Linked DNA regions of Macaca fascicularis. The protein of the gene in region 1 purifies or fractionates together with the protein of each later gene. This does not show direct contact. Links are inferred from orthologs where the notes say so. Each region holds a gene or a part of one and is shown on either strand. Other genes may lie near its edges.

The links. The genes of interacting proteins can lie anywhere in the genome.
Region 2: the proteins of RAB7A (region 1) and ARL8B purify together in Homo sapiens (affinity purification with mass spectrometry; 4 studies listed by BioGRID and IntAct, with this or other methods). This does not show direct contact. The link is inferred for Macaca fascicularis from reciprocal best matches to the Homo sapiens genes RAB7A and ARL8B.

The regions. Positions count from the first base shown.
Region 1 is NC_088376.1:154,694,914-154,698,568, forward strand, and holds the start of RAB7A (ras-related protein Rab-7a), read right to left. Parts: upstream 2,802-3,655; 5' UTR 2,599-2,801; intron 1-2,598.
Region 2 is NC_088376.1:143,386,227-143,389,877, forward strand, and holds part of ARL8B (ADP-ribosylation factor-like protein 8B), read left to right. Parts: intron 1-734; coding exon 735-808; intron 809-1,544; coding exon 1,545-1,638; intron 1,639-2,900; coding exon 2,901-2,968; intron 2,969-3,223; coding exon 3,224-3,294; intron 3,295-3,651. UniProt on the Homo sapiens protein: Small GTPase which cycles between active GTP-bound and inactive GDP-bound states.

The DNA of each region.
Region 1 (3,655 bases):
GGGTAGCACAGCTTTTCTATGTAGAATGGTACTGAAACTATGGCCGACACAATATCAGTGCTACATTAAACTTTCTTGCCAGCTGAAGAAAAAAATCCAGTATGCCAAATGTCCAAATGTACCTTTGCTCAAAGACACTGCAGTGCAAGGTAATGGTAGTGACATGGACTACCTCTCGAGTGAACCAAAAAAATGCCACTAGAGTCGGCCGGACGCAGTGGCTCATGCCTGTAATCCCAGTACTTTGGGAGGCCAAGGCAGGCAGATCACCTGAGGTAGGGAGTTCGAGACCAGCCTGACCAACATGGAGAAACCCTGTCTCTATTAAAAATACAAAATTAGCCGGGCATGGTGGCACATGCCTGTAATCCCAGCCACTCGGGAGGCTGAGGCAGGAGAATGGCTTGAACCTGGGAGGCAGAGGTTGCAGTGAGCTGAGATCGCGCTATTGCACTCCAGCCTGGGCAACAAGAGAGAAACTCCGTGTCAAAAAATAAATAAAATAAAACAAATGCCACCAGAGCAAAAGGAGAAACAAGTTGAGTGTTGAAGGTTACTCTTTAAAAGATGTGATAAATTAGAAACTGTAATATTATCTTCTACACTCTCTGAAGAGCATACAAATGCTGTTGTTAAAATTAACAAAGCCTTAAAGTTAGCCAGAACACCATCCTTTGGATTACTACGGATTCATCAGCAGAAATGAGAAATAACTCTTTCCAAAAAGCCTCAAGTTCTACCACCAAATCATTCCACAATAGAATTTCTGGCCAAGATCATTCACCTTTTAAAAATTCCCTGAGGACAGGAACCATGCCTATCTCCCTAAGTCAACATCCCACAACGCCTGATACATTGCTGATACTCAATGGATACTCAAAATACTTCATGAATGAATAAAAAGGTGCCTATCATTACTCTCCTCTAAACTCAAACATTATATAAAGCTACAGTACTTATTACTCACTTAAATATTTTAGGCTGGGTAGCAAAGTTAAAAAAAAAATAAAAAAGACAAATTTGAATACAACAGGATTGTGAACGCTAAGCTTTAACTTAGCCAGTCCCTTCAGGAGAAGCACTCCTAACTCACCTTCCAGTTCTTAAATCCAAATCTGAACAAACCTTCCCAGGTTTGAAGAAAGAAACACACTAAGAGGAGACTTTATTAATCCATGGATGAGAAATCATGTGCCTCATCAGCTGCTTAAGTCACAAGAAAGAGACAAGAGCCTGTTCTTTAGGAAACCAAAGATGCAGTATTTTGAATAGGGAAGAACCAACTGGCTGGACAGCCATCAACTAAGGTTGTAAGAAAGGTTCGCTAGGCAGCTTTGCCAGGCCTACCTGCAAAATTTTTCAAACCTCAGTTAAGTACCCCGCCAGTATTCAAGAGCTCCTAATTCAACTACACTACAATATGTGTGATAAGCCGCAAACGGCATTTCTTATGGCTTTAAGAGAGAACTGATGCTACCAGAAAGACTTTCAAACGACATCAACAGAAAGAAAGGAGGTGGTGGAAGGCAGTGAGGTACAGATACCAGGTGGCAAAAGATAAACCACACGCTTCAGGGGCACGTGAAAGCAGTATAACCTACAAATTGAATAAAGTGCTCTGGAGTCTGACTGCCTGGGCTTGCATCTTTGCTTCGTAACTTAGCTGTGTGACCTTGGTCAAATGGTTTAGCCTCTCTGTTCAATTTCCCACTGTGTTAAGTGGGCACAACAGTGGTACTTTAGAGGGTTGTTCAAAGAACTAAACATAATGATCTGTTAAAAGGTCTTGCCACGCTGCCTAGCATATAACAAACGCTCAAATATTTGCTGTCAGTATTCTCAATATTCCCCTTATGACCCATTAGGTATCAAGCGTAAAATGAATGCAGAAAGAGGCCCCCAACACGGTCCGAATGGAAACACAACTCTACATCCAACTACCATCTTTCCCCGACTAAGTTGAAAAACTTCTCTCAGGATTTACCGTAACATGCCTAGGACAAAAAGCTCCCTGTCTTCCAGCGCCAGAGGCGCCTCAATGTACACAAGTGTTGAGGCGATCCCAGCGCACGTGACCTGACTCACGCCTTGACTCAGTTGCCGTCAGGGAACCTCTCCCACTAACAGGGTCAGGCTGTTCAACTGAAGAGCCGGATGGGAACGCGGCTCGGCCCCCAGCGCCTGTGACCCATGCCCGCCAGGTGGGCACGGCGGCGGGCGGCGTGGGCTCTGACACCCTCCTGCTCGCCACGCTAAATAACTCCACCGCCTAGCGCGTCCTGCCGCGGCGCAGGGCAGTCCAAGTCAATGAACCCTCTTGGGTCTCTGAGATCGACGCCAACAGTAAACAGAGCGTCCGAGACCGGCGGCCGGGGCCGGCAACCCGGCCAGAGGTCACGCCCGACGACCTCCGACCTCTCCAACCCGGGTGGGGTCCTGGCCTGCTTCGTGGGCCTGAGCGATGCCGAGTTTGCCCGCGAGGCCAGGGCTGGGCCTGGAGCCTGCCAGGAGGACAGGGAGGACGCGAGGCCCTGGCGACCGAGGAGTTGAGGAGGGGGATGGGGCCAGGCCGCCGGCCGGGCTGGGCCCGCTGCTTACCGCGGCCTCTGCGCTGGGGGCTCTGGGCCGGGCGCGTCGCGAGGGCTCCCGCCGAGGAGGAGACTCAACGGAGGACAGAAGAGGGGAGGTCCAAGTTCTGGTTCCAGGGAACTCTGCTGAGCTCTCCAAGCCGCCAACTCCGCCGCTGCCGCCGCCTCAGGCTTTATGGCCAAGACTCCAGGCCCGCTCCCACTTCCGCCACCGCCGCCGCCCCGAGCGGAAGTACCTGTCACGAGACGCTCGACGCCGGGGTGCGGAGGAGGAGCCCCGCCTCAACCTTGAGTCACGTTCCGGCTGCCTTGGGACAGAGCCTGGATCACGTGCTACAAACATGTCTGCTCCCAAACGGTTGTCCCCATCTTTGAGGCTTGTACAAGGAGCAGGACGGCGCCATGTTGGACCCACAGACAGATTCCCTCAGCCATCCCTCCTTGCTCCAGAATAAAGAATGCCACCGAAGAGAGGTCAAGGGGTAAACTGGCCATTCCAATTGTGTCCTTCTTCGGAAGGCATCATTTATCCTTACTTTAACTACCTAACCAAAAATTATTATCACCATTTTACAAATAAGGAACTGAGACCGAACATATCAGGTCACTTGGTCTAGCTCAACACAGAAACTGGTGGAGCCGGGTTTTGAACCAAGGTCTGTCTGATGCCAATGTGTGTTATCGTTCTAGTAGACTGCAAATGACTACAGCAATTGTGTGACTCAGTAATAGAGACAGGAGAAATAGACACTTTGGCAGAGGAGACAGCACGAGAAAATGGAAAATGAGCTAAAGCCTCTCTGAACTTAGTATTAAAGAAGATGTGATAAAGATGGACCTGGTAGAACTCTTCTTGTAAGCACAGAGCAGCCTCCCAAGCACCAGCCCCATCTGAACACATCAGGATCCACTCAGAACTTTTGTCTCCATCTTTAACAATGCCCTCTAATAGTCTTTTCTTATTTGGTTCATGCAAACTCCATTCTTTCAATTGTTCCATCCAAAAACCTTGCAATTGTTACAGTAAGTAAGTAGTTAGACCTGAGCAGGGCAGGAGTGGGGCCACT
Region 2 (3,651 bases), about 11 Mb from region 1:
GATCTCAGCTCACTGCAATCTCCACTTCCTGGGTTCAAGTGGTTCTCTTGCCTCAGCCCCCGAGTAGCTGGGATTACAGGCACCTGCCACCATACCTGGCTAATTTTTTGTATTTTTAGTAGAGATGAGGTTTCACCATGTTGGCTGGGCTGGTCTCGAACCCTGACCTCAAGTGATCCACCTGCCTCGGCCTCCCAAAGTGCTGGAATTACAGGCGTGAGCCACCACGCCCAACCAAAATAATTTTATATAAGAAAAACACCTATGTGGAAATGTTGGCTACTTATTTACAGGATAATTTAAAAAGGTTAGGCATTAATGTAGAACAAATCAGACAATTAAGCTTTAATAGATTCTGAATTGCTGTTTTGTGTCTTAGCATTCAAATCTGGATGGTGCATGGTCCTGTAACTTTTAAATTGTTATAAAGACATGTTTTCAGTAATAGAAGTATATTAGTTAACAGGCAAACTGTTGCACATAAACCAAATCTTTGCTCAAGCAAACTTTTAGATGTATTGTAAATGTATTAAATATGGACTTCAAGTTTGGAAGTGGCCCCAAGAATTCCCATATTAAGAGCTTGTTTGAAGTCAAGTTTTTCAGGAGCACTTTGCCTCTTAACGTTGTAGAAATAAGTGTATCTTCCTGATCTTTTTCATTTTCTGTTACTTCCTCTTTCAATCATTTATTTAAAATATCTTTATTAAGAATTGCCTTGTTTTGGTTTAAAGATATGGGACATAGGAGGACAACCCCGATTTCGAAGCATGTGGGAGCGGTATTGCAGAGGAGTCAATGCTATTGTGTAAGTGGTTTTTTTGTTTGTTTGTTTGCTTTTAAATCAATTTAGGCATCAAAGAAGAAAGTTTATTTTAGTATTTCTGGAGGCTCAATTTTTTTTTTTTTTTTTTGAGACGGAGTCTCGCTCTGTCACCCAGGCTGGAGTGCAGTGGCCGGATCTCAGCTCACTGCAAGCTCCGCCTCCCGGGTTCACGCCATTCTCCTGCCTCAGCCTCCCGAGTAGCTGGGACTACAGGCGCCTGCCACCTCGCCCGGCTAAGTTTTTGTATTTTTAGTAGAGACGGGGTTTCACTGTGTTAGCCAGGATGGTCTCGATCTCCTGACCTCGTGATCCGCCCGTCTCGGCCTCCCAAAGTGCTGGGATTACAGGCTTGAGCCACCATGCCCGGCCTAGGAGGCTCAATTTTTATCTTGAAAATGAAAGTCTTTCTTAGCTAATATCCTAGTGCAAGTCCATTAACATGGGATTTAAAAAAATTAATCATAGAATAAGATCTTTATGTTTTTTGTTTATGGAGCCAAGAGCTAAGGGGTATACATGTTTTACTATCATGTATTAGTCTCTAAAAACAGTCTAGTTAAAAAGTATTAAAGAGTGCTGAGCCTTTCTTTAGGACATAGTTTATTTTGGTTAACAATTTCAATAATGTAAATCTTACGAAAATTAAAAATCAGTAATACCAGTTGTCGTCATCAAGTCATATGGAGAAGGTATGTTGAGATCACTTCATTTTTTTAAGTTACATGATAGATGCTGCAGATCGTGAAAAGATAGAAGCTTCCCGAAATGAGCTACATAATCTTCTAGATAAACCACAGTTACAAGGAATTCCAGTAAGTACGGAATACTTGTTATTTTACATTGTAATTATATAATGATATTCATTATGGTAATTATACAATGATATTAATTATGTTTGAAATCAGTAACATCTTCTTTTTTAAAATCTGGAAGACTTGTTTACCGTGTATCTGCCATATACTGGGCATTGTGGTAAGTATGAATCTCGTAACCAGATATCTACTAAACTACTGTGCATCAGGAGCAGTGCTTAGGCCCAGAGATAGAGTGATGAACAGAAATCAGTAGAAACATACTCCTTGCCGTCATGGACCTTATGGTTTAGTGGGAAAGGTAGATACTCTGAATAATGCAGCTTTAAGTGCTAGGAAGAAAGGTGCAAGGGGCTATGAGAGTTGTAATTTAGAGGGGAGATTTGATCTAGTTTGCAGGAGGAAGGAGGGATTCACGAGGAAGTAATGCTTGAGCTGAGATCTGAGGGATACATACGAATGTGAGGTATATGACAGCTGGAGGAGAAGAGAGTTCCAGGTAAAGGCCTTTGGGTGGGAGGAAGTGGGAAACTGAGAAGAGGCCAATCTCTAGAATACATTTAGGAATTTGCATTTGGATTAGGAATGCTCAACCAGTAAGTATATAATGCAAATCCAAAAAAAATTCCAAAATTCGAAACACTTCTGGTCCCAGGTATTTTGGATAAGGCGTACTAAACCTGTATTAAGAATAGCAGAATGTGGCTGGGCGCGGTGGCTCACGCTTGTAATCCCAGCACTTTGGGAGGCCGAGATGGGCGGGTCATGAGGTCAGGAGATCGAGACCATCCTGGCTAACACGGTGAAACCCCGTCTCTACCACAAAAAATTAGCCAGGTGTGGTGGCAGGTGCCTGTAGTCTCAGCTACTCGGGAGGCTGAGGCAGGAGAATGACATGAACCTGGGAGGTGGAGCTTGTAGTGAGCCGAGATGACGCCACTGCACTCTGGCTTGGATGACAGAGCGAGACTCCGTCTCAAAATAATAATAATAAAAAAAAGAATAGCAGAATGCATAGCATAGACTCAGAATATTTTAGATAGAAGTTGGCAACCACACACTGAATTAAGGGCACTTCCATTGTAGGAGTTAAGCGAATACCAGTATGAGCAATGAAATGAATGAGATAGGCCACCACAAAATGCCTTAATATTGTGGAATGTGTTAACATCTTAATTTTATGTCTTCACATATCAAGATGATAAACTTCTGTGACTTTTTCTTACATAAAAGTGTGCTCTTAATATCTTTTCTTTTTAAAGGTGCTAGTGCTTGGAAACAAGAGAGATCTTCCTAATGCCTTGGATGAGAAACAGCTAATTGAAAAAATGTATGTCTTGAATATGCTATTTTAATAATTTGCTTCTAAATTACCATATTTTGCCCACTTGTTATGTTATTCCTAATGATCATAGCCATATTTTTTAGATAGATAAATTTTAGCCTATCAGAGAAGTGAATCCTAACATTTTAGGATTGCTACAATGATTTCTTCAGTATAGTAATAAAAGTAATGAGTAAAATTGAACAAAGTGATAAGTATGACAGCTGTTCTAAGCACAAACTTATCCTCTTCTTCTCATAGGAATCTGTCTGCTATTCAGGATAGAGAAATTTGCTGCTATTCAATTTCTTGCAAAGAAAAGGATAATATAGGTAAGAAATGACTGGTAATTTTGGAAGAAATGGGTATCATTGGAAGGAATGTCTGTGCTTCTTACAGCTTATTATCTCGATTTCTTATTAAGTGACTTCCTTTACAGAATACTGTTGCTTTTGCTTGAGAAAAAAGAATAGATGTTATACCTTTTGACAACAAATATAGTGAATCTTCACTTTACATTATTGATGGCTTCTTGGAAATTGCAGTTTTATCTCTCTGTCTCTCTCTCTCATATAAATATATATAAAATATATCTAATATATAATATATGTAATATGTTATATATATTTATATATAAAATATACTATATATAACATATATTATATATATATATTTTTTTGAGACAGTCT